Linked DNA regions of Pelodiscus sinensis. Each later gene encodes a partner of the first gene's protein in a complex. Links are inferred from orthologs where the notes say so. Each region holds a gene or a part of one and is shown in the gene's direction. Other genes may lie near its edges.

Evidence for each region.
Region 2: the proteins of DLAT (region 1) and PDK3 are in contact, whole or in part, in a crystal structure (PDB 1Y8N), measured with the Homo sapiens proteins. The link is inferred for Pelodiscus sinensis from reciprocal best matches to the Homo sapiens genes DLAT and PDK3. Residues at the interface, in NP_001922.2 of Homo sapiens: Ala225, Leu226, Ser227, Pro228, Thr229, Glu248, Gly249, Lys259, Ala260, Ile262, Glu265; in NP_005382.1 of Homo sapiens: Arg21, Phe22, Ser23, Pro24, Ser25, Pro26, Leu27, Phe48, Lys51, Val55, Asn373, Lys374, Ser375, Arg378.

Annotation. Positions count from the first base shown.
Region 1 is NC_134736.1:6,909,903-6,926,113, forward strand, and holds the start of DLAT (dihydrolipoyllysine-residue acetyltransferase component of pyruvate dehydrogenase complex, mitochondrial), read left to right. Parts: upstream 1-8,314; 5' UTR 8,315-8,393; coding exon 8,394-8,633; intron 8,634-9,226; coding exon 9,227-9,328; intron 9,329-10,343; coding exon 10,344-10,468; intron 10,469-10,578; coding exon 10,579-10,735; intron 10,736-13,219; coding exon 13,220-13,346; intron 13,347-13,778; coding exon 13,779-13,960; intron 13,961-14,576; coding exon 14,577-14,724; intron 14,725-14,902; coding exon 14,903-14,970; intron 14,971-16,211. Other genes in the region: DIXDC1 (dixin), read left to right, coding at 2,108-2,188.
Region 2 is NC_134711.1:205,233,560-205,250,133, reverse strand, and holds the start of PDK3 (pyruvate dehydrogenase kinase, isozyme 3), read left to right. Parts: upstream 1-9,169; 5' UTR 9,170-9,322; coding exon 9,323-9,428; intron 9,429-16,574. UniProt on the Homo sapiens protein: Inhibits pyruvate dehydrogenase activity by phosphorylation of the E1 subunit PDHA1, and thereby regulates glucose metabolism and aerobic respiration. Can also phosphorylate PDHA2.

The DNA of each region.
Region 1 (16,211 bases):
CTACAAAGCTACCGTTTCCAGAGCTACACTTTATGGGATGACAGGCCCCAAGTAAAGAGCCAAAAGCAGATGTCTTCAGGCCCCACTCAAAGCACTGACTTTCATGTGATCGCAAAGCAGCACAAGTGGTGGATGGTGATTTGCAGGGTCCGCCTTCACAGTGCCAGCTGATTCCAGAGATGCTCCCTGTGACCGTACTATTTGGGGGATGCAGATTCCAAATTGTATCCTTAAAAGGCAACTATCAGATGGTCTCCTACGTTCTGTAGCAGAAAGAGAGTCTTCCAAACAAAGCAGACACTCAGTTTATCCTTCCAAACTCTGTTCATAGCTTGATTTGGAGGAAGTAGAGCCAATGTGACACCTGAGTTGCAACCTGCAAGATCAGCACCCAGCTCTTTGGGTAGCACTGTCCTATATCAAATTGTTGGGCTGTTTGCATCTTACTGATGTCAGAGAAGTCTCCTGAATGGGACAGGCCAACGGGATTTGATCCATTTCTCCATCTATGCCATTGCTGCATTTGTTCCAGTTGTGGCTCTGTGGCCCACGGTTGTGAGCCAAGCTGGTAGAGATGGGCTTTCTCTAAAATATCCTAAATACTTGGGGCCAGAGTCAGCTCTGGCATAAGTGCTGCAATTCCTGTTGAGGTCAAAGAGCCTATTTATGCCACAGCTGAATGTGGTTCTTGGTTTGTAATTTGCTGTTTTCATGCAGCAAAGGTCCTCTTCCTTCTCCACACAGTAACCCTTCAGGGGCTCCCTTCCCTCAGAAACGTCTGTTAAGAATACATCAGTGCCAGTTTCTCCAGAGACAATCTAGCATTCTGAGCACTTGACTGGGAGCCAGGTGTTCTCAAGTTTTAATCCCAGCTCTGATGCTGCCTTCCCTCCCTGTGGACCTTGAGAAAATCACGATCCTTCTCTGCACCTCACATAGCCTGTCAGAAAAATTGGGATAATAATCCTCGATTTTTCTTTGAGGGGGAGGAGCAAGCTGTTTTTAAAGCATGTTGGGAACTTAGAGTATGTCTACTCTGCAGAGGTTTTTTTCAGAAACAGCCGTTTTTCCGGAAATACTTCACTTACATCCACACTGCAATCACGTTCTTTTGAAAAAAAAAAAACTGAAAGAACAGTGGATTTGTTCTGATATTGGTAAACCTCTTTCTACGAGGAAGAAGCCTTTTTCCAAAAGAACTCTTTCGGAAAAAGGCGTGTGTGGATGGGGAAGAGGGAGTTCTTTCGAAAAAAGAGGTAAGAGGAAAAAGCACAGGTGCCCTGGTGGCCACTCCGTCCATAGTAATCACAGCTTAAATGTGAGATAGCATCCACACTGTATGAATGCTATCTGTCAAAAAAGCACATCACTTTTTCGATGTGCTTATTCTATGTGGATGCTTTCTTTCAGAAGAAGTTTTTTTTTTTGGAAGATCTCCTCCAGAAAAGCGGCTTCTGAAAGAAGCCTGCAGTCTAGATATAGCCTTACTGAGCTGTGTAAGTGCCAGTTATTTGTATTGTTTGGTATAATAAAACAGGTTCAATCTCTCTAGTCTAATAATCTCTGGTCCAGCAACATCAATGGTCTGGAATGATTGTAGTGAGCTGGATATCCACTTATCATGGGTGTGGCCAAGTTTCCCGCAGTCCCATAAAGTTTGTTTACAGCCACCAGTCCTGGCTCTCAGTTCATGTGTGTTCATTTTTTTTAAATTGTATCCTTTGGTATATATGGTTGTGACTATTTTCTTCCATTATTTGATCTGAGGAAGTGGGTCTGGCCCACGAAAGCTCATCATCTAATAAACCATCTTGTTAGTCTTTAAAGTGCTACATAGTCCTGTATTTTGTTCTGTGCTGTTATTTAGCTCTGATTTACCCCCAATATGTCTTCTAAGAGCCCAGCAAGCAGTGGAATTGTTAGTAATGCTGCCAGACTATATTGACCTCATGACATTCAGCAAATTTTCTGGTTTGGCACCAGTCCGGTCCCAAGGGTGCCGGCCTAGGGATGTTCAACCTGTACCTCTGTCTCTCATGCTATGCAGATGTAACAAAGCAGTGTCTATCTCCAGAAGTGACCCGATTCTCTCTCTGCCTTTTTATAGGTGTTCCATGATGATGACATCATTCCTGGTTGGGAAGGGAAAATTGTAGCCTGGGTGGAAGAGGATCATGGGGAAAACTAATCGGACTTGTGGGTCTTGTTTTTGTGGGGACCTGTCACTGGCTGCACTGCTCAGAGAGAATGACCAAAAAGAGCATAAGCTGGGACACATCCAATTCAAGCTGCCAAAAGAGAGGACTTCTCTCAAACAACGGGTAAAACACTTTTTTGTGTGCGAGGATGCCTGGCGTCTAGCTTTCCATGGCCAAATGCAAACAGTGTTGTAAGACTGAATTTACAGGTTGGTGGGAAAGACTCATCTTGCTTTGTCCTGTCAATAAAACCCTGGAGGCCTTAATGACGTGTTTCTCCATTCTCCTGGTTCCCCCACCCCCTGAAACGCCTGCTGCTGTTTGGGGTCTGCAGGTTTCAGCTCTGATTTGACACATTCAGTATTATACAAACCTGCCCTGATCCCTGAAACAATAAGTTCTGCCCTCATGGATCAGAAAATGCTGCTAGATTCTAGTTTCTGCCAGAAGGTCTGACCAAATCCATTCCTGAGGTATGGGGCCGAAGGGGCAGCGCTCCCGCCAGTGAACTCTGCAGCCTCTCCACACAAAGAGCACCAGGAACTTGACAGTGAAAGAAGTCTGTGGATTGTGCTGAGCAGTACCAAAGCAAAGATCAACCTTGTCTTTCTTCCCAGATGCAGGCTTCCACTTCCTAGGGTTGCTTCTGCTGTTTGCCTACCAACTTGCAGTCAGATCTAAGCCCCTTTATTGCCCTGGAACTCTTTGGTAACCAGGTGCTTACTTAACAGCCAATGGATTTTTGTTTCAGAGGAGGAAGCAGGAACCTTCCTAACTTCCCAGCAGAGGTGATGAGGTACTTTTGCTTCTCCTTTTGCCAGCTCCTTTTCCCTGTAGCTATTACCATCCCTTCCCTTACCATATGTCCAGCAGGGCAGACAGAAGATCTCATCTACTCTCCCAGGGAACAAGCAGGACTGTTTCGTCAGAGATGAAGTGACAGAGTCTATTCTGTTGGTGCATCTGTATTCCTTTTTCCAGCTTTCTCTGTGCAGGCGTCACCATGCACTTGATGTTCACTGACTGACAAGGCCATTAAGCAAATAACCAAACCTGTAGGATAGACGTTGTGACTCAGCAACATCAGTACCATCCCAGTTCCCAGCATGCTTTTTCTCTGGCATCTAATGGAGTAGAAGATGGTGAGTTGGAGAACACATGCTACAATATCTGTTAGGGTGCGTGGGGCTATAAGCTTGCCGTGTAAACCTCTAAATCAGGCTGGAGCCCAAGCTCTGAATCCAGAATGAGCCCAAACAGCTATAATGCAATTTTATAGCCCTGTAGCCTGAACCCAAGTCAGCTGACACAAGCTAACCATGGGTATTTTATTGCAGTCTAGATATACCCTTCGGGAGATGGGCTTTGCTTTCCTACTGCCAGGCAGTCAGGTTTCTGCAAGGCTGGCTGCAGTCTGCACCAAACAGGCACTATTGACTGAAAAGGTCAAACAGTGAGTCCAGCCTCAGTCTGTTCACCTTTGGTACACGTGCCCCTTTGTTGGGCTGCCTGCTTGTCTGAGTTGTGCGCATGAGCTTGGGAGACGAAGAAAACGTGGTTTTATTATTTTATAGTAACGTGACCTTTTGTAAACTCATTCCTGTTTATTGGAATTATTTTGTACCAGTTTACATCATTGTCTGAGGTGTATATTTTTATACCAGTGCAAGTGCTTTCTGTATATTTCCACAATACTGTGCTGTAGTTTACTCATTTTCTAGAGAATGTCTCTGTGTTTTATACAGTCTCCTGTTAACACCGCACACAAAGTGTGTTCAATGACTAGCTTTATTTTACTACAAAAGTACAACTAGTTCCTATTGGTTTTATATTTTACCAGCTGTTTCTTGTATAAACAGGAATTACACATAGTTTGTCTTATTACTTCCTCTGTATGCAGGAAGGGCTTGGATAGCTTTCTGACCCCACTGGTAAAACATGGTAGACCATTATTGATCTGTTCCAGTTCGTGGGCTGATTTACACATACTTGTCTTTACAAACAGCAGCAGAAACATCAGCATTTGGGAAAGTTCCTCAATGGGAGAAAAGCAGTATCAGTCCTGAAAAGAAACAGAAATTCTCTTCCTCCCTGGAAAATCACTGGTTTCCCTATTGCATGTGTTTTAGTAAGTCGCTGTAAGACTGCATGAGTTTATCATACAGAAATGCATTGTTGCATTTCAATTGCAATTTCTCTTAAATGACTTTTAATTCAAGTTTTACTAGTCTGCTTAATTTCAGTAAGAGTTGTGTGTTTTAGGTGAGACTTGTCCATTTTATGGAAATAATTAAAACAGTAATTTTTCAAAAGGCCTCCACATATCCGTCCTGTATCCCTCTCTGCTTTTAAGAGATGAGCAGTGTTGGAGTTATCTATGGTGAGTCGATGGCTGACATAATTGCTATTGCGACAGTACATCTCACTTGTAGGTCATCTGTTTCAGTTCAGTTTTGCTCAGTAGTGACTCTGATCACCACTCAAGCAATCGCTGGCTGATGGTCTAGATGGAATAAGTTGGCAATCTCAGTCCTGTTCTTAGTGGTTTCACATCACCATAACCACTGTCACCATCGAATCTCCTGTAGCCAATCATAGCAGAGGGGCCAAGGACTGAATAAGCCTTGGAGCCACTTACTGTCCTGTGTTTTCTTCAGGGCATGGGCGAAGTACATTTGGAGGCAGCACAGAGAAGGAAACATGCACTACCCACAAATGTTCTGTAGATTTAATTCTGTAGCACTGTCATCCAAGCACTTCATCAGTACTAAAAACACTTAGGCTGTGTCTACACTGGCCACTTGTTCCGGAAAATCAGCTACTTTTCCGGAATAACTTGCCAGCTGTCTACACTGGCCCCTTGAATTTCCGGAAAAGCACTGACAATCTACTGTAAAATCATCAGTGCTTTTCCGGAAAAACTATGCTACTCCCGTTCGGGCAAAAGTCTTTTTCCGGAAAACTGTTCCGGAAAAGGGCCAGTGTAGACAGCACAGATTTCTTTTCCGCAAAAAAGTCCCGATTGCGAAAATGACAATCGGGGCTTTTTTGCTGAAAAGCGCGTCTACATTTGCACAGACGCTTTTCCGGAAAAAGTGCTTTTCCGGAAAAGCATCCTGCCAATGTAGACACGCTTTTTCCGGAAATACTTATAACGGAAAACTGTTCCGTTTTAAGCATTTCCGGAAAAGGGTGCCAGTGTAGACGTAGCCTTACATACTAGAACAGAACCCTTGTTCCCTCTGTGACAGAACAGATTGTTACTACACTGAGTTCAAACCCTTGAAAAGTTTTGGCAGAACTCTGACTTTGGATATGCATATTCAACACCCGCCAAAGTCACTGCGATTTATATGAGAGAGCCTGAGGTCAGAACTATTCCCTTTCTCATATTATAATTGAAGGCCAGGGTCATGCCATGATCCCATCCCAGGACTGCTGTCCTCAGAGGCTTAAACACCTGCACCACTTAGGTTCAGCTTTGTTCTGTAATGACATGGCAGTTTTCTCTTGATGTCCTGTCACTGTATAAATGAGCTGAAAGGCCTATGAATTAGGTCTGGAAAAGATGTTAACAAAATAAAGAGGAACAAGATAATCCTGGAAAAGAGTAGGTATACACGGAACACTTTTCCTCTCACTTACACCAGTTTTACATAGCATAACACCATTCACTTAAATTGAGTTAATCCCGATTTACAGCAGAGCATATGAAATCAGATCAGACATTGGACTTGGTCTTTATGTTTTCCTTTGATTCTAGATAAGTTTATTTCTGCCTGACTTTCTTCAAAGCTACTTTCTGGTTTCCTTATCGTTGTAACTTGGTTATTTAACACACATGCTATATATAAAGTTATATTTTCTTATAAACTATAAAAGTTTGCATTCATCACTCTTTGGAAAGTTAGTTTCTCTCAATTTGCATGTCCTCCAACAGAGTGAGAACTGAGGTTTATTGGTATATCTAGGAGCTGGATATATGTGACTGGATGTACTTTGAATTTTTGGACCAAGAAAAAAAATCTCAATAAACTGTAGTTTGCAAATGGTGTCTAATCAATCCATTTATGTGGGGAGGGCAGTGGCTTTGAACTGAAGCTTCTCATTTGTGATCGGTGTACAATGCTTATGTGTACAGGCCTGTTAGCTAGGTGCTAGGAACAGAATACAGTGCAGAAGGGACAATCTTGCACTAGTGGGTCTTTTCCATCTGGTTCCCAAGATCTTCAGAGACGACAACTTGAACCTCACCTTGAAGAGCAGATTGGATCCAAGTATACTAAACAGCTCTGGGCTCATCAGTTGCTTCCTTACTTCCAAGATTTGTATTAATTTTTAAATAAAAGTGAGCCTTTGAGATGATATTTTAAAATTACAACTAACCCCTGACCCAGACCAAATTGCTCATATAATTTAAAATGAAATGCAGTGTAATAGCTTTTGGGCTCAGTGCACTGAAACTTGTGAGCACGTACTCCTATAGCCACAGACTTTCATGTTTGTGCATGCAGGGTGCAGTGGCTGGGTTTACTGATGGTGATAGCACTGTAGAGGCTACTTCTGGGTGCTGAAAACAGTTCTTGCTAAATAATTTAGAAGCCCTAGAACAGTAATAATAACAAAAATACACATCTGTGTAGAGAGAGAACTTGCCAATCAAGGATTTCAAAGCACTTTACAGATGTTAATGTTTCCTCTCCACCCAGGAAATCACTGAGGCTATGTTTACACTATCACATTATTTCAAGATAAGTTGTGAAATAATAACTTCCAAAATAACTATTTCAAAATAAGCTTATTCCTCTTCACAAGCAGGAGTAGTTATTTCAAAATAATAAGCCCATTATTTCGAATACCTTATTTCGAAATAAGGGGAGTTATTTCAAAATAACTCCCCAGCGGAGACATGCCCTAAGGGTAGCTGAAGGATTGGAACATTTAACCAACGGGGAAACTGAGGCAGAGACACCCTGAATAATAAAAATTAAGACCTTGATGCTAAAACCTGTGCTTGAGACCAACCTGGCACTATTTCTGAAGTTGGTGGCCTGCTGCTGGGGGCCTAAGCAGAACAGACGTACAGGTTTGATTGTGCTCTAAAGCCAACTTCCCAGCTAGGGAACAACCTCATGTTCCTCACCTGGCAAGTGATGACAAAACCTGACTTTTATATCTCACAACTCCCTCCCTCCTAGGGCATTCTGCGGGTCTGCATGAGTTTAAACTCAACCATGTTCATAGTATGTGTAGCATTTTTCCTTCATCAGTACATACAAGAATCACAGCATCTGCCTGTGAGTCATAAAACAAGCATCATAAAAGGAGCTACATTCCCCACAGGGGCAGCACGGTGGTGACCAGGGAGGGACTTGGTTGACAGCTGCAGAAGGATGCACTGAATCAGCACATCTGGGTTCAGTATTTAGCTTCCTGTAACCTTTCACCTTCCCAGTGCCCAACTGCGGAGCGGTCTTGGCACCAATGGGAGTGAATAGAACAGAAGAGACCCCCCAAGTGTCTGTGATTTTTCCCTACTCCTACCCTGCATCAGATCCTTTGTTCTATCCTATGCCCCCCATCTCTGTGCTGTCTTTTATCCAGTTATTCCCCCAAACTGCACCTCCACCCCCGCTATAACCCCCCCAGACTCCACAGACCCTACTGATCCCCCATCTTCTCCCCACCTTGCCACCAAAACCCTTTGCTCCCAGCCCCCCTCCACCTCCCTCCAGCCCTCCTTCCACCCTCCTACTCCCTCCCCCCAACCCCCTACTCCTCCCTCCACCCCCCTTCTCCCAGTCCCCCTCCAACTCCCTCCCCCCAACCCCCTCACTCCACCCCCTTCTCCCAGCCCCCCTCCACCTCTCCTACTCCCTCCCCCCAACCCCCTACTCCTCCCTCCACCCCCCTTCTCCCAGTCCCCCTCCAACTCCCTCCCCCCAACCCCCTCACTCCACCCCCCTGCTCCCAGCCCCCCTCCACCTCTCCTACTCCTCCCTCCACCCCCTCCCTGCCTGCCCCCAGCTCCTCCCTCCACCCCTCTCACTCCCCAGGACGCTGGCACGGGGAGGGCCTCTGCGCTTTGCGGCTCCTCGCGACACTGTCGCTGCCGTAAAGCGCGGTGGGCGCCCGGAGTCGGAGGGGAGCGAGGTCATTGCCGGAGCTGCCGGCGGGTCCCGGCTCCGCTGCAGCATGTGGCGCGTGATCGCGCGGCGCCTGGCCCCGTGCGCGGCCCCGCGGCGGGTGCCTGGCGGGGCGGGAGCGAGCCCGGGCCGGGGGGCCCGCGCCCTGAGCGGGGGCAGCCTGGGGCCCGCGCGGGGCCGGAGCAGCCTGGAACCGGGGCCCGGGCCCGCGGGGCTGCTGCTGCCGCCGAGGGAGCCCTGGCCCCGCCCCGCCCCCCGGCGGTGGTGCAGCCTCCCGCCCCACCAGAAGGTGAGGGGCCGGGACTCGAACCCCCGGGGCTGTGGGGGCCGCTCCCAGCCTCCCCCGGCCGGGGTCACCCCCTTGCTCCCCCCCCCCGCTGGGCTCGTGTCCTCCGCGACCCTGCGGCTGCTCCCTGAACCCCCACTGCACCCCCCCACTGAAACGTCCCCCCCACCCCACAGACTCGCCCGCCAGGCCTTGGAGCAGGGTCCGACTCTTCCTAGGCCCCCCAACCAGCAGGGCGTGACCCCGATCACCCTAGAAGCCGCTTGCTGAGAGCCCAGTAATCTGCCCTCGCTGAGAATGGATCTCCCGATACTGGGATTTGCCCTTGTCCCCCTGCCTTGCACCGCGTCATTAGCTGCCCTTTAGCGCTCAAGGGGATGAGTGCGGCGAGTCTGTCCCAGTTATGAGGCATATTGGGAAGAAGGGCTCTGAATAAATATTGTTGCATTAGCTTTATGGTTACTTTATGGTTGACACCTTGATTGTTTCTGGATACGAGAGCATGAACTGGCCTCTCACCTTTCTTGGTGGAAGGTTGTTTCAGGGCTGCTTGTAAAACATGGTAATTTTACTGTGACTGGGTTGTTCTTTTGCAGGTGGCTTTGCCGTCTCTTTCCCCTACAATGCAGATGGGGACTATCGCTCGGTGGGAGAAGAAGGAAGGGGAAAAGATCAGCGAGGGAGATCTGATTGCAGAGGTACTGTGGAGAGGTTACTCGCGACCAGGAGGACCAGTTATGGGACACCAAGCAGTGTTCCCTGTAAGCTGTGCACTTGTGCAGCTGCTCAGGAGAGATTCCAGTACTTCCCAGCTGATTAGCAGAGTGCCCACAGTTAGGTTTTTTGTTTCTACTGGTGGTGCACATTTCCACATATCGTGGTGTACATAAACTTTATTCCACATATTGATAGAAAAATTCCGCACGTGGATGGAAAAGCTTTAAGGGAACATTGGCACCAAGGGACAGTTCTTGTGGATGAGATCTCCCTTAGGGCCTCTCACTTTCTGGTGGGATGGGAAGCTACACCATCACTAGAGGACAAGACACGCTATCATTTCTAAAATTGCCCCCATACTAAGTACATGCCCCGGATTTTGTCTCAGGTCACCCCAAGCAGATGTAAATGTTCTGACTTCATCCTTACTTCTTATCTCTGATTCAGCATTGTAAGTTTGGCTCCCACCTCTCATCAGCCCATAATGCCAGCTTCTAGTAGCCAATTGTTAAATTTTCAAACAAGCACCTTATATAAAACAAGTTATACGTATACAAAACCCAAAGAGAGTCCTCACCCCAGACACCTGTGTTGGGAAAGGAAGGACTCTCTAGGTTTTTTTATATATATATGGCACCTGGCACAGTGGGGTTTTGATCAATGTCTGGGGCACCTAGGTACAATGAAATACAAATAATAAAAATATTCTTCTGAAGCCTTTTTATTGAAGGAATTAAAAACAGCCACAACCCCACTGCCTCTCCGCGTTGCCTGCTGTTTCTACCTCCTTATGAGAGCGATTGAACCTTATTTGCTCTACAGTGTCTTTTCCTTTTCAACCAAGTTGCTGCTGCCAGATGAGCTAATTCTCACCATGGCTTTATGCACCAGGAATCTTCACCTCTAACCCACAAACATCAAACTTCATGATTCTGAGCTGATGTGAAGGCTCCCCCCGCCCCTGCCCCATTACAAGATCATTCTCTTTCTGCAAAGGTGGAAACGGACAAAGCGACGGTGGGGTTTGAGAGTATGGAAGAATGTTACTTGGCCAAGATCCTGGTATCAGAAGGGACAAGGGATGTTCCCATTGGGTCTGTAATATGCATCACAGTTGAAAAGTAAGTGGATTGATCACATCTCACTAGAATACTGTTTTGGGAACCTGGCAGGCTGGGTGCTCTTGATGAAGAATTTTTTTCTGTATTATCTTCTTTCATTCCTGTTCTAGGCCTGAGTTTATTGATGCCTTTAAGAATTTTACCTTGGATTCCATAGCATCTGCTGTCCCAGCAGCCTCAGTGCCTCCCCCTCCAGCAGCAGCTCCCCCAACACCAGCTCAGCCTTCTGTGCAGGCTCCAGGAAGCTCTTACCCTCCTCACATGCAGGTAAAGCATATCCATATCCTCAGTGAATTATTCCTTAACATTTGTCGGTGTCTCTTCTGCCTCTCTAAAACTGTTATATCCTAGGCACTGTGATGTGGATACAAAGCATAGGTCTCACTGGCTCTAGCTGCAGGAGTGTGGGTCAGTTGATCTATTCTGCAGATTTAAAATGGGCTTCAGTGGGGGGACCCTGATCTGTTATATTTTGAAAACTTATAGGGCATCTGGTATCATCTGAGGAAAGTCATTTGCTCCCCCTGGGATTCCAATTCCCACAGGCTATAAAAAGCTCCCATGTGCACATAATTCTCTCCTTATTAGGAGGCAATGATATTGACTGGTTAAATGTGGCTAGCAGAGGGCCTAACGACATAGATGTGGAGCAAGGCATGAAGGCACCCAACAAGCCACATGAAGCCACGCTCTGTCTCTGGCCCAGTGACTGTTCTCCTGAGGATAAATACCTAGTCATTGGACTAGAATGGGAGAGAGAATAATTATGTAATCCAGTGCTTAGGACACGCCCCGGGAGAGGGGAGACCCTGGGTGCAATCTCCCTGCTCCAGCTACACGTTCATTATTGATCCACAATGGAACAACTTCAGAGGAGAGAATGAGGGAGCCCCACATCAGAATATCCCATTGCTCAGTGTTTTGAGTGTGCTCTGGAGAGGTGGGAGATCCCTGTTCTAACCCTTTCTCACCCTCTTAATTAGAGTGGGAGGGTGACAGGGTTGATTCCCCACTCTGGTACAATGAATGCAGAAGTGGGGACCCACAAAAATACCCCAAAACCTTCTCTTTCCAGGCTTGGATATAAAACTTCCCCCCCAAAATCCCAAAAACCTAGATTTTGGGGATAAAAATCCGCTGCCACCACCCAAGTAATGGTAAGAAAACCACGGAAGAGATCACTTGGGAAATCTCAGCCCTGAAGTAAAACCAGGACACACAAATTAACTAATACCAGCTTAATAAAAAAGAAAGGAGGGAAAAACCAAAAATTCCTTTGTCTCAGTTTGAAATCCCTATCTGCATTTCTATTGGCTGACTGCTGCCTGGCTAGATACAGTTAACTCCTGAATCCCCAGGCTGCTGGCCATCCCTCATGATCATGACAGAGGGTGAGGATTGAACTTTGATCTCCCACGTCCTAGGGGAACACTCAGTTGCTGGGCTGAAAGTTATAAGGTGTGGGGCCCCACCACCACCTCATCCTCCAGATGTTTCTGTGTGGAATGAGACAGGCGCTGAACTCATTCCCATAAGAAGCGTCTTAGGTGGCTGGTTCCCCTTCACGGTCACTAGCTGAGATAGGTGCTTCCCTGCAGCCTGCGCACAAGTGCTTATCTGTATGAGAGAGGCACACTCCCCTGTTGTTGGCATTGGCTGGTAGGGATGTTAAAATGGTTAACTGGTCAAATTCTGGGGCTGATCTGGCCTGGCATGGCTGGCCACCATCGGAGTTCACTGGCAAGGGCCGATTTACCTCTGATTACCAGTTAATTATTTAACATCCCTACTGACTGGCTTACGTTGTTCTCAGTCTAGTGTGCTGGCTTTTGCGGATAACTTTCTAAAGTGCATTTCTTCCCATTCATTGTTTAGGAAGTCTAGGCCTCTAACTTTGGTTTGTGGCTTGCTGAAATCATGTGATTTCTGTAGGCCACTAAACGTTACAAAAGGGATTTAGGAGTTTCATTACACCCTCTGTTACTCTGCTGGGTCCCAGTTATGTGGGAGGGGTGATGTTTACCAGTTAACCATTCACATCCCTAGTAAGGATGTTAAATTGCGGTTAATTGACTAGTCGAGTAGTCAATAGAATTTCCATTGACTAGTCGATAGGCACTTCCGCATTCCTCCTTGTGCAGCCTGGGGCCAGCAGAAAGTCCACTGACTCCAGGCTGCACACGGCGTGCCAGCTTTGAAATGTAAAAGAATCCCCGTGGCGGCATTTCAAAGGGGCGCTGTAGAGCCCGAGGTCAGCTGCAGAATCCCCAGCTGATCCCGGGCTCCCCGTGGCATTTCAGTGGAACCTGGAATCAGCTGGGGACTGACCCCAGGTTCTGTGGAAATGCTGGGGAGCCTGGGATCAGCTGGGGACTCCTCACTGATCTTGGGCTCCACAGCGCTCCTTTGAAATGCCGCCTCAGTGTTTGAAAGGGGCAGCGACACACAGCTGAGCTGGGGATCAGCTGTGTGGTGCTCCTCTTTGAACACAGCCTCGGCATGTCAAAGGGGCATCCTCGCACATCTGAGCCCAGGCTTGGCTCTGCAGAGCTGCCCCTTTGAAATACTCCACCACACACACACATCTCTTCGCTGCTTCTGTCGGTGGGGGAGGAAAGTAACTAGTCGACTCGTCCTTGACATCCTTAATCCCTAGCTCATTCTCAAGGGTAACTTGCTTGTTGGGGTTACATGCTCCTGTTGACTTTCAGTTGTCTGTTGTGATACACTCGCATTCTTTTGACTCCGTAGATTCTTCTCCCGGCTCTCTCGCCTACAATGACGATGGGTACGGTTCAAAGGTGGGAGAAGAAGGTTGGTGAGAAACTGAGTGAAGGAGACTTACTGGCAGAAATTGAAACAGACAAAGCCACGATAGGTGAGCAATTTTTAGCCCTAAGAGGGACAGTAGATTGTTCTGTAACCTCTTGAGAGTGATTCATAGTAGAGCTTCAAAACAGACTCTTTTCCCACTGGAAGGGGCAGCTGGCCTTGGTGTAATGTAAAAGGAGCTATTTAAAGCTATTTCTTGTCCTCTTGTAGTTCTAGTTGATAGAGCTGTTAAAAGCAGCTCCCAGCTTTGCACCAATCCTCTTGTGTTAGACCTGCCTTACGTGGAGACTTCTCCTCGTTCAGTTTTGTTTTAAAGATCCATTACAAATAGCAGGAGTTTAGTTACTGGAGGAGACTGAAAGCATCACCTAGAACTCTTCATTGTGCCACTGTGGTAAGGTTGTGAGGCCCCAATTCCAGCTTTTTCTGGCTGTTTGATCTTACCCAGCATTCATCAGTCATTTTTTTTTCTTTTAAGGCTTTGAAGTGCAGGAAGAAGGTTACCTGGCAAAAATTCTGGTTTCTGAAGGAACAAGGGATGTGCCCTTAGGAACGGCACTCTGCATCATTGTGGAGAAGGAGTCTGATATTCCAGCATTTGCTGACTATAGGGAGACTGGAGTAGCTGACATCAAACCACAAGCACCACCCCCCACTCCGGTAAAGAGGATCTCTGAGAGGGAAGAGAAGTAGGGAACCATTAGCATAATCTGACCTGAATAATCCTGCTGGACTTTTGAAGATGGAACTCCAATCCACGTGTTTGTGGGATCATGAGTGGAAGGATAACATGAGATGGATACAATATGTCAGTCTATCTTCTGGGAACTGATGGTGGTTGTTCCCTACACCTGTTCTCCGGGCTACTGCCTGTTCTAGTTTTAAACACCCCAAATGATGAGGATGTAAATTACTTACTGCCCCTTCCTCTGGGAGATGATTCCACAGCCCAATGAGTTGTACACCCGAAAAGCTTTCTGATAGAAGACAGTATGAGAAAATGTAATCTGTACCTTCCTAAATAATAATTCTTCCTTATCCTTGTAGTGTTCCCCACCTCTGATTCTGGCCACCGTTTTGCTGCTCTAGCTCTTACTCTCTTCCTTAATCTCCTAAATCAGCCCCTCCAGCCCTGATCACTTTTATTGCTCATTTATGAACATTCTCTGGTTGGTTTCTGGTAACCAGAGGCCCACGTTCTCTTTGCTTTCTCACGTGTAAGACTTTAGCTGAATATCTGTGCAACTAACGACTGTGTCTAACCAACTCTCTTAAGGTGGCAGCTCCTCCTCTCCAGCCCACTGTCCCTTCAGCTCCAGCAGTCTCCCCACCTGGGGCTCCTGTACATAAAGGAAGAATAATAATTAGCCCCGTGGCGAAGAAATTGGCAGCAGAAAGAGGAATCGACATTGCACAAGTGAAAGGTGAATTACCATTTCCGTTCTTATCCAAGTCTCTTTTGCCCTTAGATGTGTGCTTTGCTGTCAATTTCCTTCCAGTTAAGTGACTGTATTGGAAAGGGAGCGGGTTCCATTTTTATTTGCATGTTCCTAATATGGCATTGCATGAAAACCTCTTATGTTTCATGTATACCTCCACCAGGTACTGGACCAGATGGCAGAATCACGAAGAAAGATATTGAGTCATTTGTGCCTCCAAAGGTTGCCCCTGTGAGTAGGACTCAAATCTGTGAGCTCTGGTACTACTATTACAACAAGGGTATGGAGCAGCTTCTGCTCTTGGGAAGCAGCCGGAGACTAAGGATGTTAAATATCGACTATTTGATTAGTCGATAGGGCGATTCCTCTTCTGAAGTGTAGCAACAACTGTTGCTACACTTTAAAGGCGAAAGTGCTGGGTGGAGCCCCAGATCAGCGGGGGACTCCAGCTTATCTTGGGCTCCACACAGCGCTGCCGCTTTGAAATGCTGCAGGGAGCCTGAGGCTGGGCTCCCCGTGGTGTTTCAAGGCAGTAGCGCCACACGGAGCCCTGGGTCAGCAGGGGACTCCCCAGCTGATCCTGGGCTCCATGCAGCGCTGCTGCTTTGAAATGCCACGTGCAGCCTAGTTACACCCCAACAGCAAGAGGGGGAGAGGGGAAACGACTAGTCAACTAGCATGTCGACTCTCCGATAAGCATTTGCTTATCAAATAGTTGACTAGTTCTTCACATCCCTACTGGAGACTGCAACCAGATGGCATAGTACAAGAATTCTGAAGACTGACGATTATGCTGGTGATTGGACAGTGTGAAATGTATCTGAAAGCGCTGGGGAGTCAGCTTATGTAGGACTTTCAGAAATAGGAGATGAGAGATTCTTTTTTTAATTTCTCACTGTGGCATTTCACTGTAGAAGCACATCCTGCCTCTGCAGGTGTTTATATGGTTTCCATTACCATATAACTGAGCAGCTAATGGTGTGGTGGAGCTTTGAGGAATGCAGCTTAATGAGGGGAAAATCAAAAGGAAATCCATTATTAAAAACATCCTTACGTTCCCATCATTGTTTGATGGGGTTCTGCTTTGTAGCTGTCACCTTGTAGGCTGGTATCTATCGCTAATACTTATTACCAGTCCTTACTTCGAATATAGAACACAGTAGCTACAGATATCCATATCGTGTGTTTCATAGAACCACCAGTGCCACATTCAGGGAACTGAGTATTACCAAGGCTTTAACATTTAAGCTTGTGAATCACTTCAAGTGAATTGAAGAAAAATGGGTAGGAAGCTATAGGAAGGGAGCTGATTGAAGAAGGGGACCCAGAAACAGGGAGAGTAGCCATGTCTTAGCTGTTTTCTACCACCGCTTTGTTCTCTGGAGTTATCCCATAGTTTGTCTGTGTACTGCTGATTTCTAGTTGCCTACACACCCACACTCACGTTTGAACAATGATTGAAAACCCAGCTC
Region 2 (16,574 bases), on another chromosome or scaffold:
GCTAGTTCGAACTAGCGGGGTAGTGTAGACATACCCTAACTAAGCTATCTGTAAACACTAGTGAGTTTGGCATGAGGAACCCAGTGAATAAGAAGCAACACAGGTTAATAAAATGATCAGGTCAAACTTGATAACTTCCAGGCTATAATTAAACATCTATTAGAGAAAGACGAGCCGGTGGGGATAATGAAATGAATTCAGTAAATGTTTGATACAATATTGGATTACAAAAATCTCTGAAGCTGGAACAATGAGATAAGCCTAGAAATATCATGTGAAGTACCCATCTCTGTGCACTGTTAGGCTATTGAACAACACAAGGAATAGCACATTCAAACTTATCCCAATGAACTCTAGGCATGGGCAAAATGAGTAAAAATAAGATCCAAACCTGTGTTCCCACTAAGATTTTCCATCCGTGAGTGGAGTGAGTTTTGTCTTGTGCACCAATAGTGAGGTAATTTGCACTTGTTTGGATGTGTGCCACTGTGGAACCCAAGTTATTAAAAATATCTTATATATATTTTGTAAAATGTTATGGAAGAAAGAATACTGAAATAGGATAATTAACAAGGTTCATGATTTTAAATGTTTATTTAATATGAAGTCAAATAAAAAGAAAATTAATACTGCAAATTTCTGAGTAGCCAACATCCTCTGTTTATAGCTCTCTCCCAGGCTCTTCCCCAACTAGATGTAGAGCAGATGAACTTCCTTCCAGTCCTGTGATTCTATGATTACTGTTAGAATTCAAACACCAGAAGGATATTGGAGGGTTTGCTAGCAACATCAGAGGTATGAGATCCAGCAGAAAAGTAAGGACACTAAGGCATGACCACAGCGCATGAGTGCAGGAATGCTGAAAGAGTGAAAGATGTATCTAAGTCCCCTTTGTGCCTTCTATATTTTCCATCTTGCCAGAAGCAAGTCCAGATGCTGTTGTACAGAATGTTAAACTAGCCTCAGGGCTACTGTAATGGTGCATCTACACAGCACCCTAAACTCAAAATAAGATATGCAATTTGCACTACGCAAATTGTGTATCTTATTTTGATTGTATTTCAAAATAGCTTATTTCAAAATTTGGGGCATCTACACAATGCCAAATTTCGAAATAACAGGCTATTTCAACACATCCCTTAACCCTCGTGGAACAAGGGCTATAGGGATGCTGAAATAGCACACCCGTTATTTCAAAAAATAACAGGCGTGTTTAAAAGATGTGGGGTAGATATTCTGGGATACTTCCAGTATCCAGAAATAGCCCTGTTGTGTAGACCTACCCTAAGTCTGCATTGCTCATAGTTCCATAGAAGTCATAGGAGGCCAAGAATAAGCACAGTGCGACTGCTCTAGATTTCCTACAAAATGCCCAAAACGGGAGCTTTATGGGGGGGAGGGCACCACAGAGCCATTTCATTGGGTCTAAGAAAGCTAGGGAGTCCCCTACCTACACTGGGGATAAGACCCAAGTAGAGAAGGGTCATCACTGCCTTTAGGGTACCTTTGTGCCACTGGAGTGCAAAATGGCCACACTGTATAATGCTGCACAAATAGCATGGACACCCACCAGCACAACCAACTGGCACAACCAGGCAGTATTTGGGGCAGGGTGTGTGCCTTTCCCTTCTCCACAGCCGTGATGGGATCCTGTGGCACACTGCTGTGGAAGTCAACATCATCCCCCTCCCCAGTGTCTGAGCCATGTTGTTGCTGTCTGCACAGGATGGCAGAGCAGCAGCAGGACAAGCGGCAGGTAGTTCTGTGTGGGCTGCAGCAGACCCAGAGCGCTGAGCAGTGCCGCCATGCACCTTCCCCTTGGGAAAGCTGCCTCCACCTCCAAGGCAGAAGAGAAAGGCAACTCACTCAAGGGCTGGGATGAAGGCCTAGTGTCTCCAGCGCTGCTCTGCCAGTGATGGCAGCCTGTTCCAGCAGCAGCTCCCCTGCACCCCCATAACACACCATGGCCCAGCCCCTGGAGCAGCCACACTGCAGCCCCAGCTCCAGGCCTGGCAGCTGCCCCGTGGCCTGCCCTGGGAGCAGCTACCATGCAGGCCTAGCCCAGCTCCAGCCCTTCCCCAGGTCTGAAGCTGGGGCCACAACTGCATGGTGGCTTCCCAGCTACTTCTGGGGGAGGCCCTGGCCACTTGAGGAGCAGCTGGCACCGCTGCCACTACGTGGCCCTGGCTCTGGTGGTGGACAGCCATGCAGTCCTGGCCCCGGCAGGCAAAGGAGCCATGGCACGGCCACATAATCTGGGGCCGGCTCTGTAAGGTGGAGGAGCCTCTGCCACAGCCCCCGGAGCAGCTAGGCAGTTATTATGTGGCCTTGGCCGCAGCCCTGGGGAGTCGGGGACATCAAAGAGATTCCCAGATGAGCCTTCCCCACCCCCCCAGCTGTAACAGCAGCAGCAGCAGCAGCTGCACCTCACCTTCCATTGGCATTCTCTGCAAAGGAGGTGGGCGGGCAGGTAATTTTTTGTGCATGGCCATGCAGCCGTGCCCCTTAGGGGAAACTATGACTCAAACCCAAATTTTTTTTTAAGGTTGGGAAAGTTTAAAGGCCCTTGTCCCTTACTCATTTCATGTATAAAAAGTGATCCCAATATATCCTCCTTCTGTCCACTGACTTAATTTATGGTTCTGTGTTTCTCCCTTGTTTCTACACATTATTGTTGAGGAAATAGCACTATGAATGGATGTGATTTGTGCATCTGAAGTGTAAATAACTATATTCGTACCTGTTTCTCTGTACTCTGTTTTACTGTCATTTTGTAAAATAATAATCCCAGATTTTCTATTATGATGAAAAATTAGTTTTCTTAGAGTGATTATAAGGAACAGTGATTTAATATTCTGAATGGTTATTAAGAATGGAATTAACTAATTTCAGTTGGACAAAATATTCACTGTAAAAACCAAACTTTTGGAAACACAGGATGTGAAATAGAAAAAAAAGGACTCACCTACACTTAAAATATTACAGAGGCACAGCTGTGCTGCTGTAGCCCATTGCTGCAACACTTCAGTGTAGAAACTACCTCAATTTTCCTGTTGGTGTAGGTAATCCTCTGGAAGGGGAGATAGCTAGGTCAATCTACATGGGGACTCTGGTTGGCTTAACTGTGGTATTTTGGGGGGTGGATTTTCCACACCTGACCGACAGAGCTAATCGAACAATTTCTAATGAGCAGCAGTCCACAAAAGATTATAAAAAGTGAGCATGTGTGACTAAATCTGAGTTATTTCATCGTAAGTCTCACATGAATAAAGATTAGTGATATGTGTGAGAGCCTGATAAAAAGATCTTTATCTATTAAGTGCATAGTATCCTATAAAAGTATCAAAATATCTAAAGCATAAAAATAGAAAAAAAAAAGTACAGATTGAACCTCTAAAATCTAGGACTCTCTGGTCTGGCAACATCCGTGGTCTGGCAGGACCATGGATATCACTGGAACAGAGAGCCCCAGCTGCCCAATTTCACAAGTGCAGCTCAAGCTGGGCTGGTGGTGGGGAGCTCATCCCGAGCAAGGCTGGCACAGTGGGGAGTGCAGCCCTGGTCAGGGCAGGTGGCAAGGAACACAGCCCCAGCTGGAGCTAGAGGCAGTGGGGTTAGCAGCCAGTAGCGCAGCCCCTCAGAGGCTGGTGAGGTGGGGAGCACAGTTCCGGCTGAGGTTGGCACAGTCCGTAACACAGCCTTGGTTGGGGCTGGTGTGGTGGGGGAGCGCAGCCCCAGCCGGGGCTGGAGGCAGCAGGGCCAGTGGTCAGGAGCACAGTCCTGGCTGGGGCTGGCAGGAGAGAGTGCAGCCCCAGCCAGGGCTGGAGTCAGTGGGACCAGCCACTAGGTGCGCAGCCCGGGCTGGTGCTGTGGGAGGTGCAGTCCTGGCCAGGACTGGAAAGGTGTGAGGCTGGAGGCAGCGGCAGGGAGTGCAGTTCCAGCCGGGAGCAGAACCCTATATCTGGGTAGGGCGCCTTGACCTCCCCTTGTAGGACAATGGAGGTTCAGCTTGTAATCAGATTTTCAAAAGTGGCCATTGAAGTCAATGGGAGTGGTGGAGCCTCCAAACTTTTGAAAACTCAGGCCTTTGGTGATTCAAACTGGGCACCAAAACTTGGGTACTTCTGAATATTTTGGTTGTAACAGTCTACCTGAAAAACAGGCAAAAACCAATCTTTACAAAGTAAGTGAACTTAGACATCAACAGATGATTCTGTATTCTCATATCTGTTATGGAATGCACTGAACTCCCACTGTGAGGCAAATCCCTCTGCATCCTCCATAGTTGCGGGGACCTTTTAACGGTAAGGCTACGTCTAGACTGCAGGCTTCTTTCCGAAGGAGCTTTTCCAGAAGAGATCTTCTGGAAAACCTTCTTTCAAAAGAGAGCATCTACACAGCAAAAACGCATTGAAAAAGTGATCTGCTTTTTTGAAAGATAGTGTCCATCTCGCATTTAAGCTGTGATTACTATGGATGGAGTGGCCACCAGGGCACCTGTGCTTTTTCCTCTTTCCCCTTCTTTCGAAAGAGCTCCCTCTTCCCCATCCACACACACCTTTTTCCTAAAGAGCTCTTGCAGTGTAAGTTTTTTCGGAAAAACAACTGTTTTCCAAAAAAAAACTCCGCAGTGTAGACATACCCTTTATGGACCACTTTCCCTTGAATTGTCCCTTGAAATATGTATGTGCTAAACGATCTGGGCCACCTTGTGTTTAGCTGTGACATTCCAAATATATTGCCCAGACTGGAAGAAGAGCTCCCTGTAAACCTGAGAGCTCATCTTTCTCACTAACAGAAATTGGTCTAATAAAAGATATTACCTCATTCACCTTGTCTCTCTAATATCCTGGGCTAATGTGGCTACAACAACATTGTAGCCTTGAGGGCGGGGGGCTGGACTCGATGACCTCTTGAGGTCCCTTCCAGTCCTATTATTCTATGATTCTATGATAACACTGGTACTATTGAAAAGTCACTTACCAGACAGCTGTCTGTGACTGAGTGAGGTCCTCTGCGGCATGGCAGACATGACCTATGGATAAAAGGAGATTCAGCTCAACATTGCCAGAGGACTGGGCAGAGCAATAATCCCTGCTCTGAAACTGACACCCTCTGTGGCCTTTTGTCAAATCATGTAGGACAACATTTTCAAATGTGGATGTCTAAACTTAGGCATCTAAATCTAAGTCAAAGCTTCCAGTGACTTCAGTCTGAACTTTGAGGCCTCAGCATCTCTAAAAATAAGGCCACTTTGTTGTAGATGCTTAAATATAATCAGGTGCTTACCTTCATTTACTCAAGTTTGAAAATTGTTGGTCTTACCTTCTCTGTGCCCCATTTTTCATCTTTTGTTGTTTTTTTTTTCTATAACAGACTAACTCGGCTACTCCCTGAAACTGCTCAGTAAAATGCAGTTTCCGAGCGGTAGCTGTGTTGGTCTGCAACTTTTGAAAAAACAAGTAGTCCTAAGACTAACAATATATGTCACGAGCCTTTATGGGCAAAGCCCACTTCTTCAGATGAGTGGAGAAAAAGAAAAAAATCTCCCAATGTAAAGCAGAAAAAGAAGAGAGAGGGGAAAAAACACTACAGAAATCTAAGGGAACATTTTAACCTGCCTGGGCACTCATTAATGGATTTAAAAGTAGCCATTCTTCTAGAAATGAATTTCAGGAACCAACTAGAGAGAGAGATAGGGGAATGGGCCTTCATTTGCAAATTTGACACTATCTCTCGGGGACTGAACAAAGACATGAACTGGATGGGCCATTATAATCAACACCCAAATGACATCAAAAGCTAAGTATGGGACACTTACAGCCCACTCAGTTAGCCTCATTTAGCAATGGCACTACAATTGACTGCGCCCCCACTTCTTTTTCTGCTTTAAACTGGGAGATTTTTCCTTTTTCTCCACTCATCTGAAGGAGTGAGTAGACAGAGAAAGCAATATTTTTGAAATTTGAATACCCACTTCCATACAATAAATCTGTTTTTATCTGACTAGCAAAGAAAAACAGTAATATTGTAATTACCTCATATGAAGCAGTATCAAGTCCCCATTCTCTGTAAGACTATTTATCTAGTATACCCAGGTGTGCAATATGGCCTTGATCCTTCAAACATACATATGCTCACAGTTAATTATATATATATATATACGTTTACATGACTGGAGTCCAAGTTCAGTGCATAAAACATACCTGGTTTGAGTAGAAGTTTCTCCATTGGTTACATTTATTATTATGACATTTCCCTGTCACTATATCAGTTTCCCTTGCCTTTTTGTTTTCCTCAGCCACACAGTCTGGCTACGTCTACACTGGCCCCTTTTCCGGAAGGGGAATGTAAATTTTAGCAGTCGTCGTAGGGAAATCCACGGGGGATTTAAATATCCCCCGCGGCATTTAAATAAAAATGTCCGCCGCTTTTTTCCGGCTTTTAAAAAAGCCGGAAAAGAGCGTCTAGACTGGCCCCGATCCTCCGGAAAAAGTGCCCTTTTCCGGAGGCTCTTATTCCTACTTCGAAGTAGGAATAAGAGCCTCCGGAAAAGGGCACTTTTTCCGGAGGATCGGGGCCAGTCTAGACGCTCTTTTCCGGCTTTTTTAAAAGCCGGAAAAAAGCGGCGGACATTTTTATTTAAATGCCGCGGGGGATATTTAAATCCCCCGCGGATTTCCCTACGACGACTCGTGAAATTTACATGCCCCTTCAGAAAAGGGGCCAGTGTAGACGTAGCATGTAAGTCTCTCCCAACACTGCTTTCAGACATGAAAACTCAAACAATACCAAGAGATATAAATATACCTTGGTAATAATAATAATAATGATAGTAATAATAAAATAACCTAGAAGTAGCAATGGCTAGAAAAAATATGAATTCTGAAGTCTAGGCAGAGATAACACAAAATGCAAAGTTGTGAAATGGTTAAAGATACAAGCTACCTTTGAAACAACTATTTCTTAGAAAATTATTGTAGGCACACTAAGATTTGGGGAGACATTTTGACTCTGAAGTCAGTGACAGCTGTGGGATTCGGCTTTTCAAAAAGAAAAAAGAAAGAAACTTTTAAAAATATTTGAATGGCCTTAGGCTAATGCATAGACAGCTTGGTTTGGTGGATGTGACACTACTCAGGATACTTCCAGGTTCTATCCCAGCTCTGCTACTGATGCTTTGCAACCATTGGCACATGATTTTTCCTTTCTTTCTCTTTCCATCCCCTTTCTGTCTTACCTATTTAGGTGGAGGGTATTTGCAATTTGCAACAGGAATGTTCTCTTATGATGTGTTTATACAGTGCCTACCACAATGAGACCCTGATCACTGTTGGAGCATTCAAGTGCTACTATAACATAATAACAATAATGCTTCATTTGTGTCAGCATTCATTGACAATATTCCTTAGACATGTGGGCTCTAAAGAGTGTATCAGACTGGCAATGGAGCAATCCTCTCCCTGCACATCAATAAATTATGCTTTATTGTGAAGGAATGGGTTCACCCGAAATTCCAGGCACAGGTTCCAACATTTCATTTAATAGGTGAGTCCAACCTCCTCTCTATAGCCCCTTTCCTCCCCATAGGAGTGTCTCAAGCCTTTTGGTCCCTTGCTTCCCACCCTGAAATTTATGTTTACTTTGAGGCTAAATTTAGCCTCTAATTACCATATCCAGACTAATACAGCCACCTACATTCATAACTTTCCAACCCTTATAAAAGTGCATTGCCCCTTCCTTCCTAATTCACTGCTGCTAACCTCTGAGATAAAACGATCCCCAACTGTGTGGCACCTAATTCCTCAGATACCAGTTTTACCTATGGAGTTGCTGTTAACAGTGTCATTCTAGGTTAAGTCACCCGCTTTTCTGTTCCCCATAAAAGTAGATGTTGCTGTATTATAGTCTTTTAGGTGGATATTACTGTATGTGTCCCCACCTATGGGGCTAGGCAGTATTACTAGATGAGTTAGGCTGTGACTTCATTAGAAAAAAAGCTGTTTAAACCATGTTAAAATCCAACCCATCTAAGCTAGTCAAGGGGGCATACCTAGTGGGGAATGTGAAGGTTTTCCTTTATCAGCTAATATGGGTTAAATACTACAACTTGCCTGATCTACATTAGAATTCTAACACTGGTTACTTAACATGGGTTAAACATACATCATTGCCTGCAGGTCACAAGACCCTTAAAGTCTCTGACTTTGTCACTGCAAAAGAAGTTCATTTTACATTGAGACACCTAGCTCCAGAATCAAGATCAATGGAGATGAAATACAGTTTTTACTTGGATGCAGCTAGTTGAGATCAACCTGCACTGCCACTTAGTGTTGACCTCAACTAGCTTACATCAAGGTAAAGGTAACAGTGCTTTATTCCAACTGGGATTTTACATTAGCCATCTAAACGCATCTTTGGTTGCTTTTTTTTCAGTGAACATGCCACCTGTTTCCCAGTGTGGAGAGAAAGGGTGTGGTAGAGGCTGTTCTCCTGTGAGTCTATGGAGGGGGGTAAAAGGAAGAGTATTTTGTTGGGTGGGTGTATTTTCATTTAGTGGTGCCCCTAGCGTGAGTGTGAGAGTGGTTGCTGGGCCTATGGCAGTATTTTCCCTTCTGTGGGGGAGGCAAAGACGGGATCATGCCAGTCTCTGACCTTGCCCCAGGAGAGACATAAAGGGTGTTTCTCTGTGTGTGTCTCTCCCCCTCTGCCAGAAGAGACATGGAAGTTGTTGCGGCGTGTTACAGTCGCTATGCAAGGAGGGCTACATGGAAGGTGTTGCTTTGTGTGTGGCAGTCTCTGTCCTTGTGCCAGGAAGGACACCATGGGGAGTGAGTGTGTGAGCGACTGACAGTCTCTGCCTGTGCCAGAAGGCACATGGAAGGTGTTGCTCTGTGCCAGGAGGGCCACATGGGAGGTGCTGGGGGGCAGAGTGTGTGTGTGTGAGTGTGTGTGTGTGTGTGTGACAGTCTCTCCCTGTGCCAAGAGGGAGAGGCAAGATGTTGCCCTGCCCTGGATGAGGGCCCCCCCCTTTGACAACCTCACTTGCCCCACTACGAGCCCTGCCCCGCCCCAGCCAGCTGGGGGGGGGGGGGTAAGTCAAGTGGGGGGAGGAGGAGGACAAGGGGGAGTATCTGGCGCATGCGCTCGGGCGACGGCTGCGCAGTGCCCGGGCTCTGGCGGCTACAGACTTGCGCGCGCGTCAGGTGCTGCCGCTCCCCGCCCCGCCCCCAGTGACAGGCGGCGGCGGCGGCGGCCTCGCAGGTGCCCGGCATGCGGGGGGGCGCCGCTCGCTAGGCCGGGCGGGCGCGGCGCGCGCACCATGCGGCTGTGCGGGGCGCTGCTGCGGAGCCCGGTGCCCAAGCAGATCGAGCGCTACTCGCGCTTCTCCCCCTCGCCGCTCTCCATCAAGCAGTTCCTCGACTTCGGTGAGTGGCGGCAGCGCCGGGGGGGGGGCGGCGCAGCTCCCCCCCCCCCCCCGCGCGTGTGTCCGTCCGTCGGTCCGGGGCGGAGCGGGGCGGCTCTCAGGGACACGGGCGTGAGGAGGCGCCCGGCCCCGCTGGCGGCGAGCAGGCCGCTCTCCTGCGCAGGGGCTGCCGCCGGGGGAGGCCCGAGCAGGCTCCCCTGTCAAGCTGGGGCCCTTGCCCTGGCTGCTCTGGGCGAGTCTGCCCGGCCAGGCCCCCTGGGGTAACCCTGCCCGGCTGCGTGGAGGGGGAGAGGCGGGAGCTGGGAGTAACCGAAGTGCTCAGTGGCCTGCCCCGCCATGGGGCTGCAGGGGCCTGGTATCGCAAGTGAGGAGCCTTCGGAGCTGGAGGGGTCCAGGCTGAGGGGCTGGCTGGGAGCAAATGGGCTGCGTGAGAGAGGGAGGCCGCTTCTTCTGTGACTAGAGTTGTCTTCCCTGCAGGGCTCTTGAGTTAGCTCTGGAGTGAGCCTCCTCCAGGTGAGAGCAGTCTCACTGCAAGCCCTACAGAGTAACTGTGTTTGCACGAAGTGCTGCACCCCCATTGCATTGGTCTGTGGTCTCCAAGCATTCATTTTCTCCTCCATGCGGACTCTGAACTGCCTATGGTGGAGGAACAGTTAAGTGACGCCCATGATCCAAGATAGTAGGATCTGTGTGTGATACTTTCACGAGGAGGCCAGCGTGCCATACCATATTGTACTGTTGAGTCAGTGAAAACAGTGCCTGTTTTCAAGGTTTTCTGGAAGCCGTTTTCAATTAATGTGGGCAATGCGAGTACTTGGTCGTGTATGCTATGGCCTTGGGGAATCCCAGTTTGGTCAGAGCTCAAAATTCTCTCCACTTCAGGTAAAATGTGCCAGAGGGCCAAGTGCTCCAGTGTCTTTAAGCATGCCAACAGTAGTGAAATGGGATGATAGCTTGATGCTTGACTAGGGTCCTTACCAGGCTTTGGGAGGCCAATGTCTTTTGGAATGCACCATATCTCTGGTAGCTTGTCTTCATTGTTGACTGTGTTAAAGAACTGCACAAACTAAGGCTGAGCATGGGGGCCAAGGATTTTCAGGAATTCTGGCGATATGTTGTCATAAGCCGCAGCTTATGATAGTGAAGACCCACCAAATTGAGGGCAGATCACTCTGCAGGCAACTCCTGTACTCTACTTTCAACGAGAAAAATGGATTTAAGAGCAGGTTAGATAAACATCTTTCAGGGATGAAGATGGTGCTTAATCCTGCAGTGAGGGCAGGGAACTGGACTTGATGACCCCTCAAGGTCTCTTCCAGTTCTAGTAGTCTAGGAAATTGACAGGAGAGTTTCTCCCATCGATACCCCCCCTCCCTCACTGTAGCTTGACCTAAGGTACGGCCACCTACTTTAGATTGGATTTTCTGCAGTACAGAGTTAGACAACTTTCACTCCTTTGATTCTTCTCATGTTCTCCTGATAGTCTTTCTGGCATTTTCTAGGCTTGATTTCCAACATAAAAAAATAAGGGAAGGCTGAAAGAAAATGTTTTAGGCATTCTTCACTGTGTAAAATAAAGTTCAAAACCATTTTTTCTGATTTGATGATTTATTTTTAAAATAGCCCCTGCTGTATCTGTTAGCAGCTGAAATGTCCTGTGATAGACATATTAATTATTTGAAGGGAAACTGTCAGGTACTCATAATAACCCCAGAATTAGGTTTGTGTAAATGGAATTGGGAACAGAATGAATTAACCTTAAAATCAAAAATGTTTTGTTGGAACTTAAACATTTTTGTGCTGTGTGTTTGCAACTCAAACAAAAGGTATTGGTCCAATACAGTAGTTCCTTAGCTACTTCTTTTAGACCTTTCTTGGATTTCCTCTTCAGGCAACCCAGAAATACTCCACTGAGCAACATAGCACTATGACTTATGTTGCTCAGTGGAGTATTTTTTTGAATCCATGAACAATGTTATACGGACATAAAGGCTAGTGTAGGCATAGTGTTGTGTGTCTTCACCAGAAGTGCTATAGTGATGCAGTTGTATTAATGCAGCTGTGTCACTTTGGCTGCTATAGTGTAGACATAGTCTCAGAATATCACTTAAAATACAAGTTGACATGAAGAAGAGCTCTGTTTAAGATAGGAAAGCTTGTCTCACTCACCAACAGTAGTTGGTTCTACAAAAGATACTGTCTGTCCCACCTTGTGTCTCAAATACAAGGAGAAAAAGATTGTTCTGTATAAGTAATTTCCCTTGAAATGTGTGGTAAATAGCACATTAAAACCCCTCACTCATAAGGAGAGAGAGGTGGGGGGAAGCAAATGGATGGGGGAGATTGTGGGTGGTTTACAGATTATAGTAAGCCATAAATGCAGTTTCTATTCAGTCCATGATTTTTAATATCTAGCAAAGATATGAATTTAAGCTCCCAAGATTGTCTTTTGAAAGTGTTGTGTAGATTTCCTTTGAAGATGAAGACTTATGGGACAGATGTATAGTGATGGCTTTGTGAAAAGTGTTTGCCTACTGGAGTTACGGTGTTTTTATATTTTATAATTTTCCTCTGAGAGCTCATTTGTACCTCGCCCATCTTTGCTCTCTAATATCCTTAGACCATCAGGCATGCAAAAATATTGAAAATTAGACTTTGAAAGTACTTCCTCTTCTTATGTATTACACTGTGTGTGTGGTAAAATAACAGTTTTTAACCCAATGTTGTCTTGTGTACCTTTGAATTTCTTAAGTTAAATGTATTCTCACCTGTGTGGGGTGTGTGTGTGTGCATGTTTTTTTTTTTTTTTTAAATATTCTTTGGGTGCTTGTCTTTGTCCTGGTCTACGCTGCAAACTTATATTGGTATGACTATGTTGCTCAGGATTTTCACATCCATAAGCAATCTGGTTATGCTGACCAAATTCCTAATGTAGACAGCTATATGATGGGATGGCTTCTTTTGTTGACATAGCTACTGGCTCTCAGGGAGGTAGAGTACCTAAGCTGAAGCTGATGGGAGAGGTTCACTAAGTGCCGCTGCAGCTCTGTAAGGCTTAGTCTACACCAGGAGTGGGGAACATAAGGCCTGGGGTTTGGATGCGGCCCCTGAGGCTCAGGACTCCCCCACAACATTGGGGAGTCTGTGGGGTTGGAGCACACAGTCTACTAGCTTGGGCCCCACTAGGCTCTGGCGAGGGGATTGTGGGGAGTGTCTTTTTTCCTTCTCAGTTGGGGGCCATATCAGTGGGGATTGCAGGGCTGTTGCTACATTTCAAAGGCGAAAGCGCTGCAGGGAGCACGGGGCCAGCAGGGGACTCATATAGTCCTCTGCTGGCTCTGTGCTCCCTGTGGCGTTTCCAAGAAGCAGTGCCACATGGAACCCAGGGTCCCTGGGCTCCACACGGCGCTGCTGCTTTGAAATGCCGTGTGGAGCCTGGAGCAAAACGGCAGCTGACCGCCCCCCCACCCCCTCCCCACTGCCTCTTTTTTTTTATGCACTCCGTATGGGTGGGGAAGTGACTAGTCAACTAGTATGTTGACATATCTGATAAGCATTTGGTGTGTCTCAGGAGGGGTTAGGGAAAGCTCTGACAAAAACATAGAAAACCAATGTAACAAACAACAGATTTCATTGCTGGTAATTGGACCTTAACTAAGGACGAATGAAGCCCTGTTCTATGCCCTGGTCAAGACAAGATTAATGACTGGGCCTCTTTTTTTTTCAAGGCTTTCTTATCTCATTTTCTCTCATTTCTTCCTAACTAGTGAACTAAGTATTTCTTTTATTAAACTAAACAAACCAATTATTTATTGCACATGTGACCCAATTACTCATATTTCTTGTAGTTCTGTGATCTCATCCCTAACCGTAAACAATTTAATACTGGTATTTCAAGAATAATTATAAGTTTAATACAAATAATCCTCCTTTCTTATTATTTCCTTCTTTTTGGACACATGCTTTTAGCCTATTTCTCATGTGTATATCTAAACTCAGTTTAAAATCATAGTTCAGTCAGGATTAATATGGATCTATATTTCTATAAAGTACATATATTACTGGTCTTGATTTCATTTTCTTTCCACATAACTGTGATCAAATAGTAATCACTTGTACCTAAATTACCATTACATTTTACTTCTCTGATTAGTTTCTCTTTATCTATCAAGACAAGGTCCAATATGGAATTTCTCTTCGTTGGATGCAACATTTTTTGGGTTAGGAAATTGTCAACCATAATATTTAGAATTTCCAAGGATGATTTAGTATTGACAGCACGAAATTTCTGTCTTTCATAATCAAAAAGCTCCCTCCCTCCCCCACATTATCGAAAGGTGCCTAAGAAGCCTTTTATCCTGTTTTGTAGGGTAATTTGGTGATATATAGCAGTTTCCACCTAATATGCCATCATGTGCTTTATCTCTTAGCATATTGTCTAGACAGTTTTCTTTCAGGTTGTCAGTGACCATCAAACAGGTACGATTGATGGCATAAGCATCAACTGAGACAAACTCCCTTCTCTTTCATACACTCAATCTTTCCGTTTAGGACCCCTGGTTTTAACATTTCAACCCTGGGAATCATCCCACCAGGTTTCAAGTAATATTAACTAGATTAAATGTATTTAACTAAGGAAATAAGTGTATAAACTATACACATAAAAACATATTAAAAGTTAGTTAACTTTTAAGATTGCAAGCATAGCTGCCAGATGCCTTGGCTCATGCTGATGTGGGCAAATAAACTATGAGAGTCCATTGCAGTCCTGTATTACTTTCAGTACAGGGCATTAGGATAGCTGGGGGTATATGTGGACTGAATGGAGGTTGCTGCTAAAAACATCAGCTGAAAGGCCTGTGGGATGCATGTACACCTCAAGAGGGGCACCCATAAGGGACTATACCTGAAGAAGAAAGATGGATTAATCTCTGGACTGGAAGTTGGTGGTTGACCAGAGACCAGTGATCTTGGCCTGAGTGCATACAATGTGGGCAAATGGGACATGTCTAACCAGTTTTTATTTATTTATGAATATACAGGCAGTCCCCGGGTTACGTACAAGATAGAGTCGGACTGTAGGTTTGTTCTTAAGTTGAATCTGTATGTAAGTCGGAACTGGCGTCCAGATTCAGCTCCTGCTGAAACTGACCGCCAGTTCTGACTTACATACAGATTCAACTTAAGAACCCCAAGTCAGCTGCTGCTGAAACTGATCAGCCGCTGATTCCAGGAAGCCCGGGGCAGAGCAACAGTTATCTTTTAGGGCTGGGGTGCTGCCGGGTTGGTCCAGTAGTGCCCAGAGCGGCGCTGCGGGACCAACCAGCAGCACCCCAGCTGCTCTGCCCCAGGGTCCACAACAAAAGCCTGGTCTCCTGGGGGGGGCACACCTGCTGGGGGGTGCCTCGCCTCTGAGGCTTTGCTCTGGCGCGGGACCCGCTTTGCTCCCGGTGCCCCTGGTCTGCTGGAGATGGTCCCCAGCAGACCAGGGGCACCGTGAGCAAACCCGCAGCCGTGGCGGGGTCCCGCGCTTCTGAGGCTTTGCTCTGGCAAAGCCTCAGAAGCGCGGGAACCCGCCGGGGCTGCTGCTTTGCTCCCGATGCCCCTGGTCTGCTGGAGACGGTCCCCAGCAGACCAGGGGCACCGGGAGCAGCTTTTCTCGCCCCAGATGTCAAGGTGGCTGACCGCTGCCTGTGAACTCCGGGGCGAGAGAGCCCCGTTCGTAAGTGTGGATCCGACATAAGTCGGATCCGCGTAAGTCGGGGACTGCCTGTGTACACAAACTTTCTCAGCTTCAGAAGAGCCGATATCCCAACATTTAGGAAAAATATGAGCAAAATTTACTTGATGGAAAAGTTTAGACAGAGAAATGTGAATGAAGATTAGGAGTTTATTGGATGGCCCAAAATAACAATTTCATAATTAAGAGAGGGCAAATTTGACTCCAAGCTCTTCCTGGCTCAATGGCAAAGGAAAAAGAGCTTTTGAAATTAAAAAGCATCTATAAAAATGAAAATAAGGGAAATGATTAGTAATAATGATATATTAGAAGTTATGAAGAGTGGAATATTGAGAGATGCTAAAGATCTCCAGAGAAAAATCCAAGCTTGGCTAAGAACAATAAGAAAGAATTTTTAAAGTATATTAGAAAGAAGAGAAATCCTGGCACTGGTATAAGCCCGTTACTAGAGGGAAATGGTAAAATTTAATTATGCAGATAGGCAGAAATATTCAACAGGTGTTTCTGTTCTATATTTGGAAACGGGCAGTGTGGTTAGTTTTGCCATGTGAAAGTGCATTCCAGTTCAGCAGTAACTGAGGAAGATGTAACTAAGGAAGAGTGTTAATATATCAGTTTTTGAAAAAGGAGTATGACCCACATAACCATAGACTGGTTAGCTTCACATCAGTCTCAGGCAAATAATGAAAAAGCTGATATGGGATACAGTTAATAAATAATTAATGTTAGTCCACACAGTTTTATGCAAACCTGATAAAAAATTTTATTAACCAAATTTGTAATTTCAAAGATAACTGCATAGAAGCAATATATTTAGACTTTTGTAAGAATTGCACAACGTTCTGATTTTAAAAATTGGCACAGAGAATATCAGTAAAGCACATATTAAATGGATTAAGAACTGGCTAACTAACATTTCAAAATAGTTGTCTTGGGAGGAATCCTCAAAGGTGTTCTTTCTGGGATTCCACTGGGGTCAGAACTGGACTCAATGTTGTTTAACATTTTTATAAGTGATCTAGAAGTAGATATAAAATCACTGCTAATAACATTTGTGGATGACAAAAAGATTGTCAAAATTGGTAAATAATGAGGGCTAGGCAGTTAAACAGAGCTGTGTGGATCGCTTAGTATGCTAAGCTCATTCAAAGTAAATGCATTTTTAATACAGCCAAATGTGAACAAATGCATCTGGAAGAAGGATATTTAGGGGTCATAGCTGACAAGCCAACTTGCCATGAGCTTCAAATGCAGTGATTTGGTAAAAGGGTTAATGCAGTCCTCGAGTGTATAAGCAGGGTAGCAGTAAGGTAATTTTTACTTTTGTGATACTGAAATGCTGTGTACTGTTCTGAGTGTCCGTATTTGAGAGAGGATGACAAATTGGAGGGAGTGCAGAAGAGAACC